4 linked regions of the Stegostoma tigrinum genome follow. The protein of the gene in region 4 interacts with the protein of the main gene of each other region in a biochemical or structural test. Links are inferred from orthologs where the notes say so. Each region holds a gene or a part of one and is shown on either strand. Other genes may lie near its edges.

Region 1 (7,016 bases), on a different chromosome or scaffold from region 4:
GTATGCTATGATCTACCTGTACTGCTCACAAAACAAGACTTAACGGCCTCAATACACATAGTCAAAGAAAGACATACATCTGACTAGGACAATACATCCATAACATCACAAGTCAAACAGAGACACGCCAGGGAATTCCTGAAGGCCTGGCATTCCAAATGCAACCCCATCAACAAACACATTGAACTGGATCCGATGTACAAATCACTGAAAAACTTGACCGGAAGTAACACCGACGAACCCAGCAAACTGAAGCATACAAATAATAACCAAGACAGAACACCAACGCTTCACCAGAGGTGCACGGATGATGTTACCCAGCAGCATATTGAAACATCAGCAATCAAACACACCAGCTCGGCGAGCAAGCCTACAACCTCATCCGTGGCCCGAGCTACAATATAGAACATAGAATCCCTAGTGTGGCAACAAGTCCACACCAACCCTCAGAGCATCCCACCTCGACCCAACCCCCTATAACCCACCTAATCTACACCTCCCTGAACACGATGGGCAATTTAGCATGGCCAATCCACCTACCCTGCACATCTTTGGACTGTGGGAGGAAACCCGAGCACCTTGAGGAAACCTACACAGACACGGGGAGAATGTGCAAACCCCACACAGATAGTCACCTAAGGCTGGAATTGAGCCCAGGTCCCTGGCGCTGTGAGGCAGCAGTGCTAACCACTGAGCCACCGTGCCGCCCAAACCTTCTCAAAAAACAATGAAGGCTTTTATGTGATCAGTTAAGTGTCACCACTAGATTGATTATCTGCCTCTCCAGCAGATGAGAAGAATGTCAGGTTTCGTCTCCGGCCTCCTTCTGGGCTGGGGAGAGAGACTCTATTTGCCTCAGTCTTGGTGGGGAGGGTGGAAACACAGGATGGTAACACAGGATGGTGGGTATACTCAGATCTGAAATCAAAGCACATAACTTCTTGCCATTTAAACCCCTAAAGCATAGCCCTTGAGAGATGCTGTCTAGTGCCAAGAAGCCATCAGGTTCTGATTGTCTGGCTCTTTCTGGTGGAGGTGAGATTTCAGTATGAAGGTTAGTAATTCACAAGCAGCTCGCTGGTCAGCTCTCAACTTGCTGATTGGAGCTATTATTTTTTCTTTCTCATTGTTGAATTTGGAGAGAGAGTCACTTGACCCTGAGAATGCCTGTCTCCACATTTAGTGCACGCATCTGTGTGTGAGCTAAGTGTCAGGCTAGCTCATTGGTAATGTTTAATCTTTGAGTCAGAAGACTTTCAGGTCACAGAGTTTCTTGGTGCATCAACCTTAAATCTTGCTGTAAAGAGAAACAGGTTACCATTATTTTCCATGTTTTACCCATCAGAACAAATGCAAGAATGCCAAAATTTGAATAATCATGACAATTTACACCTGATGAGACAGGGGTGTTAATTAATTAATCAGCACATTGACATTAGCCAAAAATGTTACCATGGGGAAAACAGTAGGGTAACTCGAGGTTCCCCAAGCAACAGGGACATTCGAAATAAGTTGTAAGGCTTGAATATTGTCCTTTTATCCTGATGAATGTAAGATGAAAAACTTTTAATACTATCTCTCACTTCAGCAATTCCTAATTTTTAAGGATAGTAGGAACTGCTGATGCTGGAGAATCTGAGATAACACGATGTGAAGCTGGATGAACGCAGCAAGCCAAGCAGCAGAGGAGCAGGAAAGTTTGACGTTTCGGGTTGAGACCCTTCAGAAGAAATGTCAAACTTTCCTGCTTCTCTGATGTTGCTTGGCCTGTTGTGTTCATCCAGCTTCACATCGAGTTCTCTCACTTTTTAGGGTTTTGCCCCAGTCTAGGAACATGAGTAAATCATTTACAATCACACTAAGAGATCACTGCACTTTTGAAATTGCCATTTTTTAACTATTAAATTAAACAGGCCCATCCCAAGTTCTTGTTAGATTTATAATGATCACACTCCATTAATTTAAAGTTAAACTGAAAGATTCTACCCATTCAAAGATGTGCAGGTTAGGTGGATTGGCCACGCTAATTTGCCCATAGTGTCTGGGGGTGTGCAGGTTAGGTGGTTCAGCCATACGAAATAGGGTTTATAGAGACAGGGAAGGGGTGGGGGGGTGGTGAGATGGGTGGGAGGGTCAGTGCAGACCTGATGGGTTAAATGGCCTGCTTATGCACTGTCAGGATTCTATGATTTTATCAGTTTCAATCCTGACCCAGGCCCTTAACTGCTACATGTGGAGCTTCCTATGTACAAATTGGCTGTCACATCTCTTCTACTGGAACAGCTCTTCAAAAATTCACCCTAGCCTGTATGTTCCTTTGGGGCATCCTAAAATCATGAAAGTTGATCAAGTTTTTCTTTTGACTTGTTTTGACTACTTTTAGCTCAAGTTGCCAATAAACTCTCTCTTCTAGTGTTGCAGATTTTGCTCTGAAAGCCTCATCACAGTTTGATCAGACAGCTAGAAAGTTTACACCCCTGTACCACATTAAACAAATGTCATTCCTGAGTTCTCTGATAGTTTAAAATATTAAGAGTGTGATTAAACCAAAGCTGATTTATCAAAATCAATTTGCTGAAGACTGGTGGTCAAATGGCCAATCCAGTCAGATTAGTATTCAAAAGAAAAATATAAAGAACAGAAAATATAATCAGAAATCAAAAACACAACAGAGGCTCCTGAAGGTAGATGGAGTTTGACAGAGAGCAGGGAAATGAAAACATAGTAAGCACTACCAATTTCATAAGACCATAAAGACATAGGAGTGGAAGTAAGGCCATTCGGCCCATCAAGCCCACTCCACCATTTAAATCATGGCTGATGGGCATTTCAACTCCACTTCCCTGCACTGTCCCCATAGCCCTTTCAACCTTCAGGTGATTGCCTGATGTAGTGGTAATAATCAGTGAAGTATCAATCCAAAGATTGAGGTTAATGTTCTAAAGTCACAGGCTCAATTTCCACCACAGCAGCTTGCAAAATTAATTATTTAACTAAATTTAACTATTAATACCTACAATTGAATGATTGTCAAATAATGGCAACAACTGTAACAACCATCAAATGTTATTAAAAAACAAAGCCCACCTGATTCTTTCAGGAAAGAAATCTGCTACTACTACCACCACCTTGTGCAAGTTACTCCAAACCTATGGAAATGTGATTTATTATGAACCATCCTCTGAAATGGCTCCCTCATTTCAAAGGCAACAAACACCCACGTACATAATCCCATCAACAAATTTTAAACATAACCTGCAGCATGAGTCACCAGCAGAAGCAGCAAACAGGGCCTGACATCATTGTAACATTACTTTTTTCCCCCCCAACTAACCAGGGCTGATTCAAACCTGCAGTCATTACTTAGGTTCTGAGGAATGATCACACAACCTGAAACATTAACTCTGATTTTTCCTCCACAGATGCTACCAACCCACTGAGCTTTTCCAGCAATTTCTGTTTTTATTACTTAAGGTCTATTTTGCACAATTCCAGAACATTCTGAAGGGTCATTGGATTTGAAACATTAACAGTTCTTTCTCTCCATAAATGCTGCCAGTCCTCCTGAGTTTCTTTAGCAAACTCTGTTTTTGTATCTATACAATTCTAATTGGTATAAAACCCCAATATTGCCTATGTACCTGACAAGGCACCCTGTTTGTTGCATTCTGAGGAAGGATCACTAACCTGAACCATTAACTCAGATTTCCCCTTCACAAACACTGACAAACCTACTGAGTTTTTTCTAGCAATTCCTAGTTCTGACCCTATTTATTGGGCAGGGTTGTAATGGTTGTGCCCATCTATTGGTGGCTTAAAATGTCAGTCAAGAGTCTTGAAGATTTTGACAATTATTGGCTGTACAGGCATGCCAATCAAATGTTTCCCCCGCCCTCATGTATCTCTAATGGGTGTTAGAGCAGCCCGAATCTTGAGGTTTTCTCCTGTATAAAAGTGACTAATATTTCAAAAGCTTTAAAAATTGCAGAGTTACTCTAACTGGTCATCTGTGATGGGCAATGCTGCAAGTAATACCAAAGTGTAAGTACAAGCCTAAAGCAGTAAACGTGACTATGTATATCCTTTTCAAAATATCTGTACCATGTTAATGTGTGACAATTCAAAAGCTGAGCTTTTGTTGTAATATATAAAAAGTATTTTTTATTCCCTTTAAAGGTTTGTTTCAACATAAATTCTAATTGGCAAATATTTGCTTCTCAGATCTTATGGCTCATTCTTATGAAATGTCATGTTATACTTTTATATTAGACAATATATTTTAAAAAGACATTTTCAATATGTATCTACTGATCGTTCTTCAAATTTAGGAAATTATTACAAGCACAGATTTATTTCATCTGGATAATGGTGTTCGGTTAATCGTTAAACCATTATCCTCTTACAAGGGTCAGGTGGATTTTATAAATACATATTTTTCCCACGTGCCTCTAGTGTTCATGACAGTTTTGAGTCCTTAGGTTATGTGTCAGAGAAAACACAAACAGTGAAATGATTGAACGAACAAGAGCTAACAGCTGACCAGAAGTGTTGTGATTTGTGCAGTAGGTTTTAGCAACCCAGTAATTCTTGGACAGACAAAAGGCAAGAGCTAAAAGCAAAGAGTAGAAAAGATGGACTTGCATTTGTATGGAGTTGTCCATAACCGAGACTATCCTGATATGCTTTAAAACCAATGAAGCGCTTCTGAAGTGCAACCTCTGTTGCAACATAGGAACTATGGCAATCAATGTGGAGTCATAGAGAGGTACGGCATGGAAACAGACCCTTCGGTCAAACTCATCCGTGCCAACCAGATATCCTAAATTAATCTACTCCCATTTGCCAGCATTGTGCCCGTATCCTTCTAACGCCTTCTATTCATGCACCATCCAGATGTTGTTTAAGTGTTCTAATTGTACCAGTCTTCACCACCTCCTTTGGCAGCTTATTCCATTCACGTACCACTCTCAACATGAAAAGTTTGCCCCTTATGTCCCTTTTAAATCTTTCGCCTCTCACGTTAAACCAATGCCGTCTAGTTTTGGACCTCCCTACCCTGGGGAAAAGACCTTGATTATTCACTCTACCTATGCCTCTCATGACTGTATAAGCCTCGATAAGGTCACCCTCTCAGCCTGAGACGCTCCAGGGAAAATAGCCCCTTCTTATTCAGCTTATCCATATAGGTCAAACCCTCCAACCCTGGGCACAGCAAGACCCCACAAACAACTATATTGTAATGACCAGATGGTGGAGATTGTTAATGACATTGATTGAAGGGAGGAAATTGTGTGGGGCACCCTTACCCTTGAATACAGTGGCAGAATGTTTTATTGCAGCTTGAGAAAATGTTGAGTAAAACTGTGTGAAAATGTTGCTCCTTAGGTCCCTTTTAAATCTTTCCCCTCTCACCTTAAACCTATGCCCTCTAGTTTTGGACTCCCCTACACTAGGAAAAAGACCTTGACTAATTGCCCTATCCATGCTCCTCATGATTATGTAAACTTCCACAAGGTCACCCCTCAGCTTCCAATGGTCCAGAGAAAACAACCCCAACATATACACCCTCTTCCTATCCTTCAAACCCATCAAGCTCAACTGCTCATTCTTAGTCGGAAACATTGCTTTATGGAGGCAAATTTACCCAGCCTGAGGTCAGAAGCAGCAACATTGAGCAAGAAGGACTAAGTGAGCTTGATAATAGAGATGATGTATTTTGTTTTTCTTGAAGAAACTTCTGTATTTAGTAGAATCAAGGTGAGGTTTGATTTTGAATGACACTCTGAACATTCACTTCTTGCCTTTGAAACAAAGCATCATATCAATTCAGAGATAATGGGAACTGCAGATGCTGGAGAATCCAAGATAACAAAGTGTGGAGCTGGATGAACACAGCAGGCCAAGATGCTGCCTGGCCTGCTGTGTTCATCCAGCTCCACACCTTGTTATCATATCAATTCAGTTGTGGTCTTGTCTCATTAAAATGTTTCTCTCTACCTTCTGAAATTGGTGAAATGCACATCAGAGAGAGGCGGTGGTAATGTCACTGGACCAGTAACCCAATGTAATCTTATTTGTTTGAAAAGAAACTGAAATGAAAGATAGTCTCAGTGATAGTGACCATTAAACTGCCATAAGTTGTCACAAATACCTAACTAGAACGAAGCCTGCCATCCTAACCTGGTCTGGTTCATGTATGACTCCAAAACACACAGTAATCTTAACAGCCCTCAAAAGGCAATTACTTGTGGGCAACCAACACTGGCATTGCCAATATTGCACAGATTCCATCAAAATAAGGAAAAAAAATAATTCTGGTCACTAGGACTGAGTGTGTGCACAATTTTTGGAAAAGAAAATATCATCATATTGCGGCTGTACAGGGCATTTGTTGGGCCACTTTTGGAATATTGTGTTCTTTTCCGGCCTCCCTGCTACAAGAAGGATGTTGTGAAACTTGAAAGTGTGCAGAAAAGATTTACAAGGGTGTTGCCAGGGTTGGAGGGTTTGAACAATAGGGAGACGCTGAATAAACTGGGGCTGTTTTCTCTGGACCATTGGAAGCTGAGGGGGTGACCTTTAGAAAATTTACATAAACAGGAGGAGCATGGTTAGGGTGAATAGTCAAGGTCTTTTGCCTAGAGTAGGGGAGTCCAAACTTAGAAGACGTAGGTTTAAGGTGAGACGGGAAAGATTTAAAAGGGACCTAAAGGGTAATCTTTTCATGCAGAGATTGGTGCTTGTATGGAATGAACTACCTGCGGAAGTGGTTGAAGTTGGCACAATTCCAACATTTAAAAGGCGTCTGGGTGGGTATAAGAATAAGAAGGGTTTAAAGAGATATGGGCCAAATGCTGGCAAATGGGATTAGATTAATTTAGGATATCTTGTCGGCATGGATGAGTTGGACTGAAGGGTCTGTTTCCATGCTGTATATCTCTGAGACTCTATGGCTAATACTTGTTTCATTCAAATCTAATTTAGTTTGTAATTGGCAGTCAGTTGAAATCAACAGC
Region 2 (7,886 bases), on a different chromosome or scaffold from region 4:
TGATCTTTTAAAGGGACCACGTAATTCTTTCCCCCCTTGCATTTCAAGAATGCCAAATTCTAACTTCCTGTCTCCCAATTCACAGGTACTCTACCCATCTTCGCAACGGACATGAAAGTTGAAAATCAAGTAGGGATGTGATTCCCCCTCAATCAAGGCCAGTTTGCCATTTGGCTCACTGATTGCTCGCTTCAGCAGCCTGTCTACTTTCATTGACTGGTGTACAGGGACAAACTGATCCCTTTGTACATCCACACTTCCCAATATATCAACTTTTAAATCATATGCCTCCATTGCATTTTACACTCCAAAATGTAATGCTTCACGTTTACACATGTACTGTATCTGCCATGTGTTTGTCCACTTGCTCCACTTATCTAAATCATCTTTAAGCCTCCTTGCTTCCTCCTCACAGCTCACAATCCCACCCAGCTTTGAGTTATTGGAAATGTTGCTTTTGGCTTCTTCATGCGGGTTATTTATTTATTTTGCGAATAGCTGGTTCCAAACATTGATCCTTTGAGGTGTCCCACAGGTTGCTGCCTGTCACTTGGAAAAAGCCCTGTTTATTTCTCCTCATTGTCTCCTGACTGATTTGATTTGATTTGATTTATTGTTGTTGCATATGCCTAAGTACAGTGAAAAGTTGTGGTTTGCGAGCAGCACAGGCAGATCATAGCAAATAAGAACGTACAGATCATGGGATGCTTAGACAGAGCAAGGCAGACAGGTTACAACTGCACAGGGGGTGCACAAAGCCAGATCAACATTAGATTGAAATTACAGAAGTCTGACGTTGAATCTTCTTCAGATGAGGTAGCTGATGATTGCTGACACACACCATACGGGTTAATGTATAGTCTTTCTAACAGCATTACTAAAGGGATAAAAAAGAAATTATATAAATAATTGAGAGGTCTGTTCATGAATCTGATAACAGCAGGGAAGAAGCTGTTCTTGAATCTGTTGGTACGTGTTCCCAAACTTTTGTATCTTCTGCCCGCTGGAAGAAGGGGGAAGAGGTTATAACTGGGGTGGGGGAGGGGCCTTTGATGCTGCCAGTTGCTTTCCCGAGGCAGTGGTAAGTATAGATAGAGTCAATGGATGGAAGGTCAGTTTGTGTGATGGACTGGGCTGCGTTCACAACCTCTGTTTGTCACCTTGAGGCATTGTAGAGCACTAACCCTTTCAGAACAATAAACAACATCCACGACACTCTAATTCCAAAGGCGCAATTTCTTGAGCAGGTCTCCACCCCATGCAAACACAAATGTACCGTTAGATTCAATTCTGGGGATGATTCAGAGATGAAAAGTCATCAACCAAATGAAAATATGTGATGGGAAACTCTTTTTTACACAGAGGATGGTTCACGTGTGGAATGGTCTTCCTGAGGAAGTGGTGGATGGGGGTACAGTTACAGCATTTAAAGGACATTTGGATAAGCATACAAATTGGAAATGTTTAGAGGGATATGGGCCAGGACCAGGTAGGCGGGACTAGTTTAGTTTGGGATTATGTTTGGCATGGACTGGTTGGATCGAAGTGTCTGTTTCTGTGTTGTGTGACTCTATAACTATGACCCCAGTGTGCCGCTGGACTTACTGAATATTTCCAGCATTTTCTTTACATGGCGTTGTGCCAGCTTCCAGAGACTTCAAATGGTCCATGTCTTCACATGTGCTCTTTCCTGTGTTAAATTCTGCTTGGAGTTACACTGATCTTCACATTAAACATCCTGGAACTCATCCATAAGTTCCTTCATTGTATTTTTCCACCAATCTCTATAATCTCCAACAGCCCCATTCTTGTCCCAAGGTATGTAACAGAGCGTTCGGAATTAGGTTTCATTGTCACATGTACTCAAGCGGAAGGATGCAGAAGTACAGTGAAAAGTTTACAATGTTGCCATTCGCAGTGCCATCTTAGGTCCAAAATCTTTGGTAAAAAGTAGAAAAATAAAGAAATGTGAAAAGTTCAACATCGCACTTCTTCTCAGTATAGAGCGGTATATAAGAAATAAATTTACTGAACTATCTCCCTCTCTACATTTAAAAACCTTTCAAATTCGCCACCAAGATTCCCTCACCCTACCAAATCTCCCGAATTCTTGTTCAGGGATCCTATTTTGTTACAATTAGAGCGAATCTTGTGATGTTTCTTTGCATTGAAGGTGTTTTACCCGCAAACTGTTGTCCGCTTATATTTTTTAGAAAAAGGACTTTTGGCGTTCAGAATATATTTTGGAAATTTTTAAACAGCAAACTGACAGCATGCACTGTCCATGCAGACTTTGGCAAATGTTTATGGCACCAAATGGACGCTACAGCAGCCTGCTCTGAAACTTCAATGAATCTAGTGTTAACAGAACTTTGCATAAGAACAAATATTCTGCCTGTATTAACTGTAATGTTTTTGTTTGGAATAGTTCATTCATTGTGGTAGACCCAAAGCACTTAGTCAAAAGTCACACTTTAAGAAGGACATGAAGAAATTAGAAATGGGACTAGTTTAGTTTGGGATTATGAGATAACAAAGTGTGGAGCTGGATGAACACAGCAGGCCAAGCAGCATCTCAGGAGCACAAAAGCTGACGTTTCGGGCCTAGACCCTTCATCAGAAAAGGGGGATGGGGAGAGGATTCTGAAATAAATAGGGAGAGAGGGGGAGGCGGACTGAAGATGGATATCCCCTTAGGTTGGTCCGGAGAGAGGAGAGTAACTTCTTCAGCATGGACACTCTGGACCGAAGGATCTGCTTCCTTGCTCCGTGACTCTATGAGAGGATGCAGAAAAGATACATTGGAATGGTTTGGGGGATGTCTAATTTCAGCTGCGCGGATATTTTAAAAAATTCTTGTGGGGGTTGCTGGCAGACCCAGCATTTGTTGCCCATCTTTAATGGGTCTTGAACTAAGCGGCTTTCTGGGTCATTTCAGAGGCCACCTCACAGTCAACTGCACTGCACTGTACCTGAAGTCTCATGTAGATGACAGCACATAAGCAGATTTTCTTCTGTAAAGGATATTATTGAATGGCCTGGGTTTTGAAAAATACAATCAATTATTGTTTTGAACTGCCATTACTAAGCCGTTACTAATATTATTACTAATACTCATTCCGAGTCTTACAAATTTCACTTTAAATTCCACCAACTTCCATGGGTAGATCAGAGGGGTCAGATCTGTTGTTGTTGGGGGGGATGAATTGATGGGGATGTTCAAAAATCTGGACAGGTTGGGAGGAACTGATTTTATTGGTCAAAGGTTCAGGAAACAGAAACTGCTGATATAAAGTCTGTGGCAAGAGAACCCAAATGTAACAAGGAGAAAACGCTTCTTTGCAGGGCTCGTGGATCTGAGATGTACAGGCATGTGGAAAAGCTGATTCAGAAGGGAATCTAATCTGAAAAGAAAACATTTTGCGAAAGGGAAAAGTCAGGGCTCATATCAGTTGTGTAGCTGTTAATGGGAATTGGTACAGACACAATGGGATGGCATAGCAGTTCAGTGGTTAGCACTGCTACCTCACAGTACCATGGACCTGGGTTTGATTCTAGCCTCAGGCAATTGTGTGAAATTTGCACATTCTCCCCACATCGGTGTGGGTTTCCTCCCACAGTCCAAAGATGTGTAGGATTGGCCATGCTAAATTGCCCATAGCATCCAGGGATTTGCAGGTTAGGTGGATTAGCTGTGGGAAATGCAGGGCTGCAGGGATTGTGTAGGGGCTGGGTACGGGTGGGATGCTCTTTGGAGTTGTTGGGCTGAATGGCCTGTTTCCACACTGTAGGGGACTGTTTGGTTGGGTCAAATGTCCTCTTTTGAACTGCTCCTTCAAACACACCATTGGCATGCTTGCTTTCAGACCTATAACACTGGTGCTCTGCAACATATTCTAAAGGACTGGATTTATTGAGAGGGTGTAACAGGAGGAAACACAAACCGAGTCCCATCGCAATTTCAAAGGCAGACGCTTGGACCCAGCGCAGCTTTCAAGGGCCGTGGGCTTGATTGACAGTCAACTGGTCCAATCAGACAGCCCGACCTGAAACGACCAATGGGCCAGAGCGGGAGGCGGGCCAACAGCCTTCCCTCCCCCAGCCTTCAAACCCAGGCTGCGGTCTGTGATTGGCTGCTCCCGGAAACAGAGACGCCATTGGCTGATAATGTAACAGTGTCAGCGCGGCAGATTTAAAATCCCTTTGGAGGCGGAAGTGGCGGAGCTAGAGGAGCACAGGGAGGGCTAGCAGGCACTGATGGCGAGTTAGGGAAAGGCATGCTCGCTCTGCTGAATGTGATTGAAGGGAATGCTCAGAGAGTTTTTATATTCCAGTTAGCGGAGAATGGCAGGGAAAAGGTCTCTGTGTTAGTAGTTAGAGAGAGGGAGAGCAAATCCCTTCTGTGGGGAGATTGACAGAGCGAAAGAAAGACAGATCAAAGTTTCTTTTTTTCTCTGCTGGGGGTGACAGTAGAGAGATGAAGACTCGGAATTGGTGGTGAGACAGAGAGTTTAACTGAGCCCGGGAGAGAGGGTGATGACACGTGTGTGACTGGAAGTTAGGCAGGGAGTGAGACCAGATCCTGCACGCTGGGACCTTGTTTCGTAAGGAGAGAATGAGAAAAAAACAGAGGGTTTGAATTTCATAAAGCTGGAAAAAAGAGTAAGAGAAGAGACACGCAGATTGGAATCTGTACTGTTGTAATTGGGGTGAAGCTGAGAGACTGGGTCCTGTGTAGTGAGAGAGAGAGATAGTGAGAGAGACTTGTCTCTGTAGGGTGGCATTAGGAACAAAGAGAAAGCAACTTGATACTGTATTTGGGGGGAGGGGGAGAGAGAGAGGGAGGGGGGGAGAATTGAGATTATGTATTCCTGGAGGGAGATGACTGGATATTCAATACTGTCAGAATGAGAAAGGAAGACAGATGAGACCTATGTGTATGTATGAGGGACAGAGAGAGACTAAGATCCTGTATACAAGAAGAGAAAGGGAGGGAAAGACTAGACCCTGTATGCTGGGAAGAAAAACATGAAGAAAAACTCCACTAGGAGTGGGAGAGAGCTAGATTGCCTAGACCCTGTATGCTGGGAGTGCATGAGTGAGATAGAGACCAGGCCAGACTGTTTGTACAGAGTGTGAGGGAGACAACAGGATCGTATACAGAGACAGACAGACAGACACTGTTAACTGCTACTGGGAAAGAGAAAGGACCTTGTTTACTTGACTTCAGATGGTGAGTAGAGGAGAAGGAAATGATAGGCCTTGTGTTCTGGAGCTGACAGTTGGAAAGGTGGGGGGGGAGAGTTAGAAACCCTCTGCTCTGAATTGTCAGAAAACATAAATGAAGCTTTTCTCTTAACCCTTCTTAAAGGTGGAAAGAAACAAAAATCCATTTTTTTTTTTGGTTGTGGACAGGCAGAAACAACAGGCTTACCAAAATCTTCAGCTGCTGGATACAAATACTGCTATTTGTAAATGAAATTACCCAGTGCATATTGTAGGATTTACCACCTTGGGTTGACTTTGGTCAATCCTAGCTTTGGTGAAACAACACCATTTTTGTGACTAGTCAGAGCCAACAAGAAATCCCTGGACCTCTGTAGAGTGTTGAAACTTCAGAACTCCATTTCAAACATCCTGAAGGGGTAAGTGATCACACTGAGAATCCAATGTTTATGTAGCTTTGGTTTTAATGTGCTGTAAAATAAGATTTGCCCAATATTTAATGTTTTGTGTTCCCTTATCTGCTGGTGTAACTTTAAATTACAGTACTCCCATTGTCAGGAGTTCACACCACTTAAACTGTAATCTATCAACATGAGAGTGCAGCTTCGTAGTTCCTTGAAAGTAGAGTTGCGGGTTGACAGAATAGCGAAGAAGCCATCTCGTACGCTTGCCTTTATAGTCAGTGCATTGAGTAAAGGGGTTAGGAGGTCATGTTGCAGCTGGACAGAACATTGGTTAGACCACTTTTGGAATATTACATTCAATCTGGTCTCCCTGCTACTGGAAGGATGTTGTGAAACGTGAAAGGGTTCGGAAAAGATTTACAAGGATGTTGCCAGGGTCGGAGGGTTTGAGCTATAGGGAGAGGCTGAATAGACTGGGGCTATTTTCCTTGGAATGTTGGAGGCTGAGGGGTGACCTCATCATGGTTTATAAAATCATGAGGGCCAGAGATAGTGAATAGCCGAGGTCTCTTCCCCAGGGTGGCAGAGCCCAAAACTAGACTGTTTTGGGGAAAGATTTAACAGGGACCTGCAGAGTGTAGTTCTGCCAGAGGAAAGTGGTGGAGGCAGGTACAGTTCTAGCATTTGAAAAGCTTCTGGAGGGGTACATGAATAGGAAGGGTATAGAGGCATATGGGCCAAATGCTGGCAAATGGGAGGGGATTACTTTCTGTTGGTGTGGGCGCGTTGCACGGCAGGGTCTGTTTCCAGACTGTACAGCTCTATGGCTGAATCACCTGTGCCTGTGTACCGCCATATTGCATGGTTTTAGAAGTGGGCTGGTTGGTACAAACTGGCCCCAAACCCTAGGAGATTCCTTTGAGTTAAGCACATTGCCTAAAGAGCTCAAGCTTGTGGTTCAAACCTCACCTGGGATAAAGTGAGTTAGTCAGGGGCAAGCTGTATTTGTTGTCGTCCATGTACGAGGGGTGTGCATGCTTTTATTGCACAACTGGATGTCAACTTTTGTTTTAGGATGTTGGGGATTTTTATGTTGCATTTACTTCAGATTTATAAGAATTCTAAACAACTAGCCATCTTAGGCTCCCACTTAATTGCAACCAGCAGTGAATCGACTCCAAAACAATAATTGGCTGCTCTCCATGTAGTTACAGGATTAGGGAAACAAACTGGCTTTGCGGAGGGTGGGAGGGGAAGGCAGAGCAGAGTTTGCAACATTGAACTAGACACCAGCGGAGAGTTGCAGCTCTGATTTAATGGTGGGCTCTCAGTGTTCGAGTCTGATTCAGTATGACACAAGACGAGGCTGTTTGGCCTGTTGAGGAAATACTGTGAAGTAGTCCAGTCAATCCCACTTTTATTTCACCTCTGGAAAATGGGGTTTATGGGGTTATGTCAATCTCAGCCCATAGGTAAGTCCACAAAGGATCATCAATGTTGCAAAATTGGATAGAGTACGTGTGAATTGGGAGGCAGGAATTTGGTGTTTGTAAAATTCGAGGGTGGGGGGAGGCATTGCGTGGTCCCTTTAAAAGATCATGTGCTTTTTCTGTGCTTAGAGATGTAAAATGGATGCCTGTGAGCAGAACCCTGGAAGTTTGCAAGTGCACAGAAAGCACCCGAAGTGAAATGTTTGCATCAAAAGCCCATACAGTGAGCAGGCCCAGCAGTAGTTTTACCAAGACAATGGGCGTTTGCCTTTAGCTAATCAATTTGAACCAGGCGATTAGATACCAAAAACTTATCAAATTTAAAGTCTGAGGTAACAATGTGTACAGCTGGATGAACACAGCAGGCCAAGAGGCATCGGGGAGCAGGAAAGATGATGTTTTGAGCCTAGACCCTCCTGCCTCTTTGTAGGTTACGTGGAACAGTCCCTCTCCCACAGCCACGCTGGCCCTAACCCCACCTCTTCCTCTGTTACATTGATGACTGTATCAGCGCCACCTCGTGCTCCCAAGAGGAGCTCGAACAGTTCATCCACTTCACCAACACGTTCCACCCCAGCTTCAAGTTCACCTGGGCCATCTCCAACACATCCGTCACCTTCCTGGACCTCTGTCTCCATCTCGGGCAACCACCTAGAAACCGATGTCCATTTCAAGCCCACCAACTCCCCCAACTACCTAGAATATGCCTCCTCCCACCCACCTTCCTGCAAAAACTCCATCCCCTATTTCCCAATTCCTTCGCCTC
Region 3 (8,007 bases), on a different chromosome or scaffold from region 4:
GATAGTTCACCTATCTAGCCATCTTTAAAGAAATGCATTGATCTTGAGAGACAGAAACAAATATCAGATGTGATACTTCAGGATTAGTGGAAATACAACTCTACATAACAATAAATCACCACATAGAAAATGTATTTTTAAAAGTTCAACTTTGGTAGTAACAACATGACAGCAGGGAAACAATCCAAAAAACCCAACAGGTCCCACAGCCAAAATGCGTAATAAAAACTGAAAGAACAGTGGATGCCGCAAACCAGGATCAAAAACAAAGTTGCTGGAAAATCTCAGATAACAAGGTGTAGAGCTGGGTGAACACAGCAGGCCAAGCAGCATCAGAAGAGCAGGAAGGCTGATGTTGTTTCGGGCCTAGAGCCTCCTTCAGAAATCTTACTACCTACTGCTGGAAAAACTCAGCAGATGTGGTAGCACCTGTGGAGGAGGAAACAGAGTTAAAAGAACTGAGGAAGGGTCATCGGACTCCTCCACAGTTATTAACTTTCTTTTCCTTCACAGATGCTGCCAGACCTACTGAGCTTTTCCAGCAACTTTGTTTCTATGTCAAAATTCATATATGTCACTTTTAAAGTCATTCTGCAAATTAATTCTAATACTAGCACAAAACCACTGGAACAAAATTGTCCCAAAACAAAAAGCTTTTCCAATATTTAAAAGAACCTCAGATGTTGATTTTCCGAAATGTCAGCCTTCCTGCTCCTCTGAAGCTGCTTGGCCTGTGTTCATCCAGCTCTATGCCTTGTTATCGGAGCTTTTTCCAGCAACTTTTTATTCCTGGTTTGCGGCATCTACAGTTCTTTCGGTTTTTATTGATTTTCTGTTTTCAGTTCTTAAATATTTGCAGCTACTATAAGAGACTAGAAACACTCCTTAACATTTAATGCCGCCATACGAGATAACCATTGCTGACATCCAGATTCACTTATTCCTACTATGAAATACCTATACTGCACGTTAGGTTGATCTTGGTCCGATAGGAGTGATGAACAGATTATATGAAAGCCATACCTCAGTTAATTTGGTCAGAAATCTCAGCACCAGGTAATAGCCCAACTGGCTTATTTGAAAACACAAGCTTTCAGAGCCTCAGTCCTTCTTCTGGTGTTAATGAGAGGTAGTATCAGATACAGGATTTATAAGTAAAAGATCAAAGGGTCACAACATTGAGGTACTAAACAACCTTAAGATGCTGTTAAATCTTTAATCTCCACATCTTCATCCCGACACACACATCTATTTGCAGATACATTCTATTTTGCTCAAGAAAATACAACTTATTGACAGTCATATTGACTTTTCACACATTCCTACTTCAGAAATAAAACCAGCTTAACTCCAAACTAAAACACAGATTCTAAACAAGGTCTCACCAACCAACACGCACTATCTGACCTAAAATGTCACTTTTTCGGTACTGAAAAAACCTTAGGTTCTCTGAGAATCATGACTTGTTTTAGGTATTCACATATAAATATTGATCAATCAACTGATTCAAGATTTAACAGCATCTTAGGTGTGTTTAGTAGATCCTCAATGGTGTGAATCTTTGATCTTATAAATACTGCGTTTGATACTACCTCTCTCACTATTACCTGAAGGAGAAGTGAAGCTCCAAAAGCTTATGCTTTGAAATAAACCTGTTGGACTCTAACCTGGTTTTGGGTGGTTTCTGACCTTGTCCACCCCAGTCCAACACTGGCACTTCTACATCAATGAACCTGGATCTCAAAATCCTAGTGCTCTTTAACTATAAATAATCATTACTTAGATCAAGAGATTAATTAGAAAAAGTGAATTACAATTTTAAATATACCAAGTTCCCGTTGCTCACGAAAAAGAGCCTGGCTACCGTGCTGATCATTACAGTTACCACCGGTTGCAGCTGAGAAACGTGCAGTCAGAAAAGATGCCCAAACCTGATGTTGTACCACTCAGGGCCCAGAACAATATCAATCTCATTGCTAAAGTCAAAACAGTTACTACTGTATTCGAGAAAATCAAGTGAAAAAACACACATTTGGACATAAATATTAGAAAGGGCGGAGATCCGTTAAGCGCTTGGTAGCTAATTCTAAAACTGTTCAAAGGGTCTGAGGGATAGACCCCACCTCCCTCTCACCGGGTTAAACAATTCAAACCCTAGAATGTCCTACTTTACTAGCACCTAGATCGCACCCTGGTTAAAAGTATAACATTGAAAGGTTTTTTTAAAACCCTGGCAGTTAATGGTGGTGTGACATGTGCGGCATCCTTACCTTGGGGGTGTGGGGCGTGTCGAAGAGCCGCAGTTTTCTGAGTGTTTTATGTGGCGGTGTATCGGGACAGTCCGGGATCGGGGAGCTGCACTCCTCCTGGTCCCCTCCCTCTCGGATTGGAGAACTGCACTCTTCCCGGTCGCCGCTTTCCCGGATCGGAGAACTGGAAGATTCCTCCAAGTCCCGACGGTCACGGTAATCCCGTCGGCTTTTGAGCGGAGACGGGCTGCCCACGAAACCATCCTCCCAGCTCAGGTTCCCCAGCTCCAGCTCCTCTGCGCACTGGCCGAGCTCAGAGATCCCACCGTACTTGCGGTCGGGGTCCGGCGACTCCTGGAAGGCCGAGTCCTCGGTGCTGTTTCCACCATCCTCCTCGTCGCTCCCTGCAAAACTGAGTTTTTGTACAGGGAATCCCGAGGCCGTAGTGGGGCTGGTACCAGCTCTCATGCACACTCGGCGGAAACTCATTGCCAGAAGACTCAAAGTCACTATCCGGCCCGGTCCTGACGGAGACCCCGCTGCCCGCTCGGCCTGTCCGGGTCGTGACGGAGACCCCGCTACTTGCTCAGCCTGGCCCGGTCCTGACGGAAACCCCGCTGTCAGCCCGGCCTGGTACGGTCCTGATGAAAACCTGGCTGTCCGCTCGGCCTGTCCCGGTCCGGTCCTGATAGAAACCGAGCTATCCGCCCCTCGCGCCGTCCACAACACGATAGGTTTCCCGCGACCGTTAGTCACGTGACGAATTCCACCAACCACGAGCGCTCTCCTGTTTTCAAAAACACGGTCACATGATCCGCAGACCTGCGGCTGCGCGCGCAGTCTAGCCGCTCGCGTCATTTTCGCGCCAAACTTTCCCCTGACCTTATTCAACCTCTCTCTCTTTTGTTGTATTGAACATATTTCATGCAGGTCTTTATTAACAGCATTCTTAAACATGTATGTAAAGCTTTTCCTCCATTAGCAATAAATGCAGTTTTCAATCAAATGAAACTAGTTTTTTTCAAGATTTACAAGTTAATTTTAGAGCAACTTCATTGAATAATTGCATTAAATCTGATTAAATGTTTTAAATCTAATCAACACTTCACTGACAAGACTTACTGCTTGTTGTTTCAACGTTAATCACATATTGGTTTCCCTGTGCATTTGTATTCTCATCTCTGTTTTGACCCTTTCTGCAAACTTGGCAGAAGCAGATTAAAAAAATCGTCTTTATTTCCAAACAATGACTCACTGACGGTGAATTGTGTTTATGACTGGATAATCTCTCACCAAACATTAAATCAGAACAAATGTTAACATTGTGCAACTGAAACCCTGGGGCATAAACTTTTAGAGATATATTAACTTAGATCTTTCAGTTTTCTTCTGAACGTTCGGCGAAGCAACACAGAAGCCGATCTGTGACTATAGAGATAATGGGAACTGCAGATGCTGGAGGATCCAAGACAACAAAGTGTGGGCTGGATGAACACAGCAGGCCAAGCAGCATCTTTGACACGAAACATAGTGTCAATAAATTACCTCTTAACATTCTACCCCATCTGCTCTCTAATGAAGAGGTCTTTAGACATCAATCCTTCAGTATTGTACTGGAATCTACCAAGAAATTAATCTCCAAAACATTGCTCCAGGCAGCCCAAAGTTAAACTAAAAAGAAATTGTGTTTTTATCCCTTTTTTGAGCATGTCATTTCTTAGCAGTGAAAAATATTAGACATGAGGGACAAGGCTCTATTACTGAATCAATCATTAAATCAGTTGGGTAACAAAAAAAATTCCCTTTTCAATATATGGTAAGGGCTGTGTGTATGTAGCATAAATAAACAAAGTTCAGTGTGAAGGAGATAGCAAGAACTGCAGACATTGGAGTCAGAACACGGTATGGAACTGGAGCAACACAGCAGGTCTTCTGAAGAAGGGTCCTGACCCGAAAGTCAACTTTCCTGCTCCTCTGATGCTGCCTGGCTTGCTGTGTTCCTCCAGCTCCACACTGTGTTGTCCAAGGTTCAAAGTGAAGTCAGGAAAGGGGGTCAAGTGATAAATCGATAAATACAACCAGAGTTGACAGCATTATTATTATCTGCATCACTCACTCCATACAGAAGCCAATCCAATACTTCAATTACTTCCTGTTTAAAGATATTGCCCCTTTCTCTGCTCCGTTAAAGGCAACTTCATATTTATTCCCTGTTACTCTGGACCATGAATGGAAACAGTTTAGCTATCCATCTGATAGAAACTCTTCATTATTTTGCTGACATCTAGGAGATCTTTTCCCCATCTGATCACGTCAAGACAAAATAACCCACACTGCTCTCAAGTTGTGGTTATTTTAATTAACATTGCATAATTGAATCACAATTTAGTTCATTTTTGACAATATCATAATTCTGGTAACCCTGTTTCATACTAATCGTCAGCAAAATCATCTAAAAGCACATCAGCTTCCAAATGGAATCTGAAATACCTCATCACCACCTCTTGACTGCTTTCAGACTTTTCATGCTGTTCATCCAACATCTAGACTGGAGCAGTAGTGATTTCCTTCAAATAAATATTGAAAGGTTTGAGCTATAGTTTATGAGTACTGGCCAAAAACTGTTCTCTAACCACCAAATCCATCCCGTTCACTGCCACCTCTTGAGGTTAGGCTAGCATTTGTCTTTTGAATTGCTGAGCCTACTCTGCCACTCAATAAAGACCATAACCAATTTGGTTGTGGTCTCAACTCCACTTTCGTGACTGCCCTCCAGAACAGTGACTCCTTGTCTATCAAAATCTATCTAACACAATTTTGAATACATTTAATGACACTACTTTCTGGGGAAAGAGATCCACATAATAGCAACACACTCTGAGAAAAAACAAACTCATCTCCATCTTAAAATAGAGGCTTATTTTTAAATGATGTCCCATATTTGTATTTACCCAAGAGGAAACATCCATTATTTACAATATCAAGACTGACCCCCTCAGAATCTTACATGTTTCAACTGGATCACTTCTGATTCTACGAAATGTCAATGGGTGTAAGCTCAACATGTTCAACCTTTCTTCATAAGATGTACCCTTCATCTCAGGAATGAGTTGAATGGATCTTTGCTGAACTGTTTTAAATGCAGTTATGATTTTTCTCGGATCAAAAAACTAAAACTGAACGTAAATCCCCAGATGTGGTCTCACCAAGGATCAGTACAGCTCCAGTAACACTAACTTATTTTTGTATTCCATTCCCTCTCAAGTAAATGAAAACATTCAGTTTGACTTCCTAATCATTTACCACACCTACAAGATACATTACCAAGACACCCAGATTCCTCTGTACAACTGGAATTTTGCAATCTTCCTTCATTTAAATAATATGCTGCTTTTCTATTCTTCCTGTCAAAGTGAATACATTTACATATTCCTGTATTATACTTCATTGATCAAATTTGTACTTACTCACTTATCTATATCCCTCTGCAGGTTCCATATGTCCTTGTGACAACTTACTTGCCTGATATCATCAGCAAATTCAGTTAGCATGCATTGGGTCCCTTCTTCCAAGTTATTGATATGGATTATAAATAGTTGAGAACTAACTATTGTTCCCTGTGGCACTTTATTTGTAATAGCTTGCCAATTCAATAATGATCCCATTTATCCATACTAATGCTTCCTGTTAGCGAACTAAGCCTTTATCCATGCTAATATGTTACTCATTATACTTTGTGCTCTTTGTGTGTAATCTTTGATGTAGCACCGAATCAAATACCTTTGAAACTCAAAGTAAATGCCACCTACTAGTGTCCTTTTATTGACCTTGCTAATTACTTCCACAAAGAATGCTCATAAGTTGTTCTGCAGTAGTACAGAACTTGAGTATTGTGAAAAAAAAATTAAGCTTTTAATCTTGCATTCATCAGGGCAATTCACAAGAATCCCAATTTAAGGGAACAACCAGCATTTAGAAGAATGACGTAGATATAGAAACCCCATCATATTCCAAAAGGATGATACAGAATATACACAGGAAGGATGTTCCTGATGACTAGGGAGTCCAGAACCAGGGATAGTAGGAACTGCCGATGCTGGAGTCTGAGATAACAAGTGGAGCTGGAAGAACACAGCAGGCCAGGCAGCATCAGAGGAGCAGGAAAGCTGACGTTTCGCATCTGTACCCTTATTCAGAAATGGGGGAGCAGAAGGTGGCTCTGAAATAAATAGAGAGAGGTGGGGTGGTCATAGAAGGTGGATAGTGGAGCAAATAGGTGGGAGAGAAGACGGACAGGTCACAGAGGCAGGGAGGAAACTAGTAAAGGTGAGTATAGGTAGGAAATCAGGGTAGGGGTCGGTCATTGAGGCAGGAGGAGCAGATAGGTTGTGAGAGAAGACAGACAGGTCAAGGAGACAGGGATGGGGGTTGTTGCTGGTCTTGGGTTGAGGTTGGGGGTGGGAAAAGTTTGAAGCTAGTAAGGTCCACATTGAGACCATTGTGTTGTAGGGTTCCAGGTGGAATGTGAAGTGCTGTTCCAGGTCACTCTTAAGAATACAGCGTAGGCCAGTTAGTCCTGAGATGAGGAGAAATTTCTTCACACTGAATAGTGAGCCTTTGGAAATCTCTGCTACAGAAAGTGGTTGAGGGCAATCATTAACTGTTTTCAAGATGGAGTCAAATATCATTCTCAGGGCTTAAAAGGATGAAATGGTATGAGGAGAAAATGGGAACAGGTATTGAGTTTAACGACCAGGCATGACCTTACTGAATGGCAGAGCAGTCTCAAAAGGTGAAATGGCCTACTCTTTCTCCTATTTTCTATGTTTCCTTTCTGCCATACTTTGATGATTATTACCCCATTGTTTCCCCTTGATTAATTTCACTTCCACTCACATGGTCTCTTTTCCCTCTACTGTTTAGTTCAAAGCTCTCCACTGTACCCGGTGTGGCTTCTTCTACAGTGGGGAAACCAAGCGGAGGCTTGGGGACCGCTTTGCAGAACACCTCCGCTCGGTTCGCAATAAACAAGTGCATCTCCCAGTCGCAAACCATTTCCACTCCCCCTCCCATTCTTTAGATGACATGTCCATCATGGGCCTCCTGCAGTGCCACAATGATGCCACCCGAAGGTTGCAGGAACAGCAGCTCATATTCCGCTTGGGAACCCTGCAGCCCAATGGTATCAATGTGGACTTCACCAGCTTCAAAATCTCCCCTTCCCCCACCGCATCCCAAAACCAGCCCAGTTCGTCCCCTCCCCCCACTGCACCACACAACCAGCCCAGCTCTTCCCCTCCACCCACTGCATCCCAAAAGCAGTCCAACCTGTCTCTGCCTCCCTAACCTGTTCTTCCTCTCACCCATCCCTTCCTCCCACCCCAAGCCGCACCTCCATCTCCTACCTACTAACCTCATCCCACCTCCTTGACCTGTCCCCTCCCTATCTCCCCACCTATACTCTCCTCTCCACCTATCTTCTTTTCTCACCATCTTCAGTCCGCCTCCCCCTCTCTCCCTATTTATTCCAGAACCCTCACCCCATCCCCCTCTCTGATGAAGGGTCTAGGCCCGAAACATCAGCTTTTGTGCTCCTGAGATGCTGCTGGGCCTGCTGTGTTCATCCAGCCTCACATTTTATTATCTTGGATTCTCCAGCATCTGCAGTTCCCATTATCATAGATCATGATCATGTAAGTGCCATTGCAGAAATAGATCTGCATGGTGACCAGGACTGGGAACTGAATTTTCAAGGATA
Region 4 (7,850 bases):
TAGATTCTCCTACAATTAAGACTGTAATGTTAAGAAATATTGCCATTTTTTTCATACTTTTGGTGATCGCTTTAGTTAGTTACACCTGGTCAGTGATTCTGCAAGTCTTGGAAATGCTATTCCTTTTTAAACCACTTAAGGGTCTGCCTCGCGCTCTCTGCTCTAGATCTGTCTTGTGATTGCTTGCCATCTTCCCTTTCAGATTTCTCTGGCTGTAGTTTTCCATTTATGCTTTTAAATTTTGCTGTTACTGTGACAACCAGGAAGCAGCTGAAGCAATTGGTCTCCAACCCACCCTCTCAAAAGTTGTCATATGTAATGTACTGTTCGAAGTCTTATGTGAGATAAGGTGGTGTTTGTCAGCTGAAGGGAAATGCTGAAATAGGTGTTTGTTGCCTATCAACCCCCCCCCCCCCGAACCATCTCTTCCACTCCATGACCCCCAACACAAATTGAAATTGCTCCCTTCTTTGTGCATACTGGATTTGTCTGACCATGAAATTTGAGAAAACATTCTCTGCCACTTTACTCTGATTTTTATTTGTCTCAGTTGGAGTTTCATCATCATTATGGAGTTGAGTATGGCCAGATCTCCTTTTCCAAGCTACCATCCTACCCCCACCCCCCACTCTCTCCAAATAAGAAAAATCCTGTATTCTGTCTGAGAATTTCGTGGAAGTGAAACTCCACTTTTTTTTTTAAAATTTCCTATTTAGTTGACCAGTTCTTGGAGACTGCAGAAAATGCACATATTTGTAACCTGACCTAGAATTGTGTGGTTTGATGGTACAGAACTTGAGTATTGTTGATAAAAGGCACATTTTGTCGAAGCCCTTTGACTTGCACTCATCAGGACCATGTGCAAGAAATGGTAATGTACAGGATAGACAAATCTATTGTACTGCACAAGAGGAGACTGGCAAACAGTGAGCACAGTGGACTACCTGCATGGCTGATAACTTTCTACATCACTAATTGGTTGCTCCTTTTCTAAAGTTGTTACCTTTCAGATATCCTGCTGAGGACGGATGCTGCCAAGTTCCTACAATTTAAAAAAAATATTCAAACTAAAGTAACTATTGAATGTTTCCCATGTTTCATGACTGCAAGAACCAGTGTGCCAGATTTTACTCTTGGTTGGTCAAACTGCCCTGTGACCTTCATCTTAGAGTAAAATAATGTGTTGGTGATTTTGCTGAATGGTATCTTACGGTCCTTGAAATAATTCTCTTGTACTGGAAATCACAAAGGAAGAATGATTGAACTCTTCAATAATTATCTCTCTTTCAAAGCTACTGACCTGAAACACTGTATCGACTCTGACTCCAGCATTGGCAGTTATTGCTATCTCCAACCTGAAACATTTCCTTATCTCTTCCTCTGCAGGGTCCTGTCTGACCCAAATACGTTCCAGAATTTTCTGTTTTTATTAAAATAGCAGCCTATTTCAGTTGCAATCTTAATCTCGCTTTAATGATTTTAGGACAGTCATCTATAAGCAAATGTATAGACAAGTTTTTTTTTATATTTTGAATTCATTGGCTTAATATTATGACTAATATTGCATGGCTATTCACTCATTTATCTTGTGTATTTCAACTTCAGTTCTTTTAACCTTTTCAACTATTTGCTGAGACGTTTTAAAAGCTCATTGGAAAATTAATTTGACTTCATATCATAAAGCCATGTTTTGCGACTGATGTACCATTGTAAGCAGTTTATAACTTCACTGGTCTCTGTCCTCTTGGTAACAATTTAGACATGTCTCCAGTTTTCAAAGTCCAGATTAAACCAGTACGCCACTGTTGCTATTCAGATTTATTTTTTGCTCTGCCCAGAATGTAACTTATTTTTAAAATGACAAATTGTGGGAATTAAAATAATGGAGGTTGTAATTATTTACATTGCAAGGTGCTCTTTTTCTGTTCAGTGGGCTTGTGTTTCAGTAGCAGAGTTTTATTAGCTATGAATCTAGGCTCTGCATGAAAGTACTCATTCTCCACAAATATTAAAATGATCCCCAGTAAAGCCATGTTGGATTATATGAACACAGGGAATTATCTATTAATGCAGCTGAAATTGCAACCTGGAAGCTTGAGCCAAGCTCCAGTAGCTTTACTATGTTGAATATATCAAAAATTTTAATTTTGTCATGATAAAAGATAACTTGCTTGAAATATATGCTTCATTTTATTGCTGATAATAGACTGGTGATAGACTTTTTTTAACGTAAGCCTGGCTGAGGACTTTATAATTGGTTTTAACATTTTATATGTATCATTTTTCCATGGCCTTGGGTAAAAACATGTAGGTACATTGATAATCTGTTCTCTAAGACTGTCATGGGCTCTTAGATTGCTTAGTAATGGGTATAGTGGAATAATTTCATAGTGTTTGTCTGAATATTGATTTCTGTTATGTGAACTTCAGTTCCTTTGTGTTTTCTCAATTCTTACTTTGTGGCTGTTGTCCAAAAATGTCCAATAGTGCCAGTTTGTTGTTTTCGTGTTTAACAAGTGGAAACTTTGTGTAATCTAGTTTTCACTTAACAGAGAGGAGAAAACACGGAAATCTAGCTTAAACTGAAATCCTGGCACTTCCTTGCTGACAGTACTGTGGTTGCACCTGTACACATGGACTGCAGTAACAAGCCAGCACCACCATCTTGAGGGCATCTTTAGAGATGAGCAGCAAAATTCTGGTTCATCTTGAGATGCTGACCCCATCAATGAGTACAAAAGGAATTACAAAAATAGCAGTCTGCTAAATGTGATTTGTCTCCAGCACTTTCATGGAATTGAAAAGTTGCTGGGAAGGAGTACGTGGTTCAAAAGGTTAAAATGCAATCCAGACTGATTCATAGGGAGTGGGTGATCCTTGGAATTCTCTGTCCCAAAGGGTTTGGTGACTTAGTTATTGAGAGAATCCAAGAGGGATCTGTTATTAAATATATAAAGAGAGATGGTGTTATTGCACAAAAGATCTCTTAACAAGAAGATCAACCATGATCACACTGAATGGCAGAGCATGAGTCCTGCTCCTATTTCATTCATTTATGAGAAAAGTAGCTTGAAAAGTGCAAAAATACACATGACCATGTTTGGACTATGCAGTGAAAATTTTTTAAAAATTCATGATTGGTCCAGAGCTGTTGGAAGCACCACATGATGGCAAGTTGTATTATTGATGTTTATTTAATACTCATTTATTTTAAAGTCTGAAATCCTGGCACATCCTCCCTAAAAGCACCATGTTTGTAACTAAGATAACAAAGTGTGAAGCTGGATGGACACAGCAGGCCAAGCAGCATCTCAGGAGCACAAAAGCTGACGTTTCGGGCCTAGACCCAGACCACAGATTGCTCAGTAACGAAAAGTGGTATAAATCAGAGCAAAGCAACATGTATATAGTTTCATAAAGCATATATTCTAAAACCGTTTTCTTCAGAAAGCCAAGTTCATGATGGTGTCTCTTTTAGATTCAACCTGTAGCTGGTACCATAAAATGGCAGCCTGAAGACAGGGCTCCAAACTAGACACATGCTGTTTTCAGTCCAGCCTTCACAGTTCATCACAACACACACTTTACTGCAGGAAGCAATCTAGATTACCCAAAACCCTTCCATGTAAACAACTTCAGCAACATATCCTTGCTGAACACTTAACACTTGATTTAATTAGATTCAGAACATAGTGTAATGTATTTGTGTCACTTGCAGTCAGGTGAATGTAGGAAGGCAAAGATGTCAGAATAGTGTTATCTTCCAAAAGAAAACATTTGTGCCCCCTTTGCCTTACCAGAGGCCTACATAGCATTTCTAATGATGTACTGAATGCTGAATTTATGTCCTAAAAATGAAATTGTCTAATCTTTCAAATTGTTAAATATGAAGAATGCAGCAAAACAAATTTAGTCAGAAGAATAAGATTCTGTGAATAAGAGGACCATAGTACCAAAAAAAATCTTACACATGTCAAGGAAGCTGTATGTCAAGTTTGAATGTTGTTCTCTCTGTGGTAGTTTGTTCACGTATGTATTGACTGCCCGGATTAAGTTCACAGTTGATTTGTACAGAGGCTGCAGTCTTTACACATGATGGGAGCACACTTTTCTGTGAATGACCTCCAAGACCAACAAAGGGGAAAAAGCACCTCAAGCAGGCACCAAATAAGTCTGTTGACCAACAACAAATATTATGCATTTAAGGTTAGAGTTTCTGTAGTTGTCATGTGTTTTTGTGTTTTTTTTTGGACATGTGGATCTCAGTGTTGCGACAAGTTGTGATAGATAAATCTCTGCTATAAATTCCTAATGATTTTTGTGTAATTTTGTGCTTTTTGAGATGATGGATGCAAAGAAGGTTTGATGCCACAAATGCTGTCTGTCCAGTTAGCCATACTGCAGTTGCTTGTATGCATATGGCAAATGATGGAATAAAGTAAGTTAAGCTATGGTGCCCAGTACTGATGAACATTTTCTTTCAATGTGCTTTTGGGGGTGTGCATTCTGTGGCTTTAGCCAGGGCACAGTGGTAAAACTGTCTTGTCAAGGTCAGGCTCTGTAAGGATGTAGCTGCAATGTCTGGTCTGACACTGAAATTTGAGAGTGCTGCACTGTTGGAAATTAGTGAAACGATTGAATGAAGTTCTAATTCCCCTCGTGACAGTCAATTCTAACATCAAAGAGGGGCTCGTTGGCCGATATTCATCCACCTGGCTGCATCTCTTTTTATAACAAAAAAATCCAGTCCTAATGACTTTTTTTAAGGCCTTTCACATTTCTTTCAAAATGTAGTATTTAAGTTGTTGTAATGTGTGTTTTGTAGTGAAGGATGTTGTAGAAACCCATGTTGATATCCAGTGCCCATGGAACTGCATCTGAGACTTCTGAAGAAATCGGGACAAGGGCTCTGGAGTGGAGCGAGGAAGGAGAAACTATTCAAATCAGGTTTTGCAAGGTGTGTCTTGATTGGTTTGCTTGCATCTCTGATGCCATTTGATATTTCTTTTGCAGGTCGCATTTACTTCTTCAATCATATAACTAATCGGAGTCAGTGGGAGCGACCAAAAGCTGGGGGGAATTACAATTCTGTTGAGCCTGACAAAGTTCGTTGTTCCCACCTGTTAGTGAAGCACAACCAGTCACGCAGGCCTTCTTCGTGGAGACAGGAGGAGATCACACGCAGCAAGGAGGAGGCACTAGAGACATTAAATGGTAAGCTGATAACCAATGCACACCTCAGCAAGAGCACAAAAGCCTCTGTTTGTACTGTTAAGATGTCTTGATGGGTGCAAAAGAGGAGAGCATAAATGTGTTTGAAATAATTACAGAGGCTGGTGTCTTGTGACCAAGTCACCCTTTATTTACATGTGTGCAGTACAAGGGCTCTGAGTCAGTTCCGTGACTGAGGAGACCTTCTGAATCTCCCATTTATATCTGTCAGCCAGGGCTCCCTGATTGCCTCAGGTTAGCAGCCCTAGTCAAGGACCTCATAATCAATGACATTCACCTGGCCCAATTTGTGCTCAGCTTGATTTGGAACATTTTTGAGGTTTTATGACTATAGCAAATTTTTGGGGAAATGTCAGTTGAATGGTATGTCACAAACCCCTTCCCAAGCTGGTTGAGTGAGCCACCCTTAAGAATATATCAGTGTTACTCTGCAAGTAGGCACTTGGAAGGTGTGTGAAAACCTTTGGGGATGATTGATCTTCTAATCTCTTCATCCCCGCTGCCCTCAGTAAAATTCTTGGTATTTGCAAGATCCCCAGTATGTTGATACTAATGAGGCATGGAGCTTGCTGCATATGATTCTAGGTGATGCATTGGATTCATCAATGGTGAGATTTGCATTGCCCTGTTGATTTGAGTGCTGTATGCTTTTCCTTTGTTTTAATATTTCAGAGGAGATTTTTTGCCTTGGAATTGATTCAACACTACAGACATAATAGACTGTCTAGTTTCTGTCCTAAAATGTACCAATATTCTTAGATTAAGGACATGACAGGCAAAAGTGTTTATTCCTGCCATACACAGGTGCTAGTAATTTTGGCATAGCATGAACCCTCTTGTAAACTATTGGGAAAGAAAATGTTTTTGTGTGTCATACATCTAAAGGCAAAGTAGAAATGCACAGGTTAATATCAGAATAGGTAAAGAAAATTTGGGCTCAGACATCTTATTCTTTTGTCAGGAACAGAAGTCTATCTTTAGTGATTATCTTCAGTTGTAAGTTATCTCAGGCAACCAGCTTGTAACTTATGTCCATTTCAAGCCCACCGACTCCCACAGCTACCTAGAATACACTTCCTCCCACCCACCCTCCTGCAAAAATTCCATCCCCTGTTCCCAACTCCTCCGCTTCCGCCGCAGCTGCTCCCACAATGAGGCATTCCACTCCCGCACATCCCAGATGTCCAAGTTCTTCAAGGACCGCAACTGTCCCCCCACAGTGATCGAGAACGCCCTTGACCGCGTCTCCCGTATTTCCTGCAACACATCCCTCACACCCCGCCCCTGCCACAACCGCCCAAAGAGGATCCCCCTCGTTCTCACACACCACCCCACCAACCTCCGGATACAACGCATCATCCTCCGACACTTCCGCCATCTACAATCCGACCCCACCATCCAAGACATTTTTCCATCCCCACCCCTGTCTGCTTTCTGGAGAGACCACTCTCTCCATGACTCCCTTGTTCGTTCCACACTGCCCTCCAACCCCACCACACCCAGCACCTTCCCCTGCAACCGCAGGAAATGCTACACTTGCCCCCACACCTCCTCCCTCACCCCTGTCCCAGTCCCCAAGATGACATTCCACATTAAGCAAAGGTTCACCTGCACATCTGCCAATGTGGTATACTGCATCCACTGTACCCGGTGTGGCTTCCTCTACATTGGGGAAACCAAGCGGAGGCATGGGGACCGCTTTGCAGAACACCTCCGCTCAGTTCGCAACAGACAACTGCACCTTCCAGTCGCAAACCATTTCCACTCCCCCTCCCATTCTTTAGATGACATGTCCATCATGGGCCTCCTGCAATGCCACAATGATGCCACCCGAAGGTTGCAGGAACAGCAACTCATATTCCACCTGGGAACCCTGCAGCCTAATGATATCAATGTGGACTTCACCAGTTTCAAAATCTCCCCTTCCCCCACCGCATCCCTAAACCAGCCCAGATCTTCCTCTCCACCCACTGCATCCCAAAACCAGTCCAACCTGTCTCTGCCTCCCTAACCTGTTCTTCCTCTCACCCATCCCTTCCTCCCACCCCAAGCCGTACCCCCATCTACCTACTAACCTCATCCCACCTCCTTGACCTGTCTGTCTTCCCTGGACTGACCTACCCCCTCCCTACCTCCTCACCTATACTCTCTCCACCTATCTTTTCTCTCCATCTTCGGTCCGCCTCCCCCTCTCTCCCTATTTATTCCAGAACCCTCACCCCATCCCCCTCTTTGATGAAGGGTCTAGGCCCGAAACGTCAGCTTTTGTGCTCCTGAGATGCTGCTTGGCCTGCTGTGTTCATCCAGCCTCACGTTTTATTATCTTCAGTTGTAATTTCTGTTCTCATTTGCTGCCTGACCTCCGTGTTTCCCAGAATTCTGTTCTACTTGCACAGACCGCTTGGGCGATTGCTTATTTTGAGCTAAACCTTCCCGAATGAGTTGATGAAGGTTGAATGGATCATGATTGATGGAAATATTTGGGTGAGATTGCACTGGCACAATATGAAGTGTTGTTAACCTCCCACATGCATAGTTGTTGATTTCATTAATGCTATGTGGAAGAACGGTAGTGTCAAGACTGGCCCTTGCAAATGATATGCCTTTTGTCATGGATA

Evidence for each region.
Region 1: the proteins of pin1 (region 4) and pkma form a complex in vitro, tested with the Homo sapiens proteins (2 studies listed by BioGRID, with this or other methods). The link is inferred for Stegostoma tigrinum from reciprocal best matches to the Homo sapiens genes PIN1 and PKM.
Region 2: the proteins of pin1 (region 4) and M-phase inducer phosphatase 1-B-like interact in a test that uses a peptide from one of them, tested with the Homo sapiens proteins (2 studies listed by BioGRID, with this or other methods). The link is inferred for Stegostoma tigrinum from reciprocal best matches to the Homo sapiens genes PIN1 and CDC25C.
Region 3: the proteins of pin1 (region 4) and wee1 form a complex in vitro, tested with the Homo sapiens proteins (2 studies listed by BioGRID, with this or other methods). The link is inferred for Stegostoma tigrinum from reciprocal best matches to the Homo sapiens genes PIN1 and WEE1.

The regions. Positions count from the first base shown.
Region 1 is NC_081389.1:14,446,856-14,453,871, reverse strand, and holds the start of pkma (pyruvate kinase PKM), read left to right. Parts: upstream 1-3,997; 5' UTR 3,998-4,012; coding exon 4,013-4,041; intron 4,042-7,016. UniProt on the Homo sapiens protein: Catalyzes the final rate-limiting step of glycolysis by mediating the transfer of a phosphoryl group from phosphoenolpyruvate (PEP) to ADP, generating ATP.
Region 2 is NC_081366.1:76,176,984-76,184,869, forward strand, and holds the start of M-phase inducer phosphatase 1-B-like, read left to right. Parts: upstream 1-4,870; 5' UTR 4,871-5,645; intron 5,646-7,886. UniProt on the Homo sapiens protein: Functions as a dosage-dependent inducer in mitotic control. Tyrosine protein phosphatase required for progression of the cell cycle. When phosphorylated, highly effective in activating G2 cells into prophase.
Region 3 is NC_081370.1:27,234,968-27,242,974, forward strand, and holds the start of wee1 (wee1-like protein kinase), read right to left. Parts: upstream 3,002-8,007; 5' UTR 2,739-3,001; coding exon 2,271-2,738; intron 1-2,270. UniProt on the Homo sapiens protein: Acts as a negative regulator of entry into mitosis (G2 to M transition) by protecting the nucleus from cytoplasmically activated cyclin B1-complexed CDK1 before the onset of mitosis by mediating phosphorylation of CDK1 on 'Tyr-15'.
Region 4 is NC_081388.1:20,180,532-20,188,381, reverse strand, and holds the start of pin1 (peptidyl-prolyl cis-trans isomerase NIMA-interacting 1), read left to right. Parts: upstream 1-4,850; 5' UTR 4,851-4,865; coding exon 4,866-5,214; intron 5,215-7,850. UniProt on the Homo sapiens protein: Peptidyl-prolyl cis/trans isomerase (PPIase) that binds to and isomerizes specific phosphorylated Ser/Thr-Pro (pSer/Thr-Pro) motifs.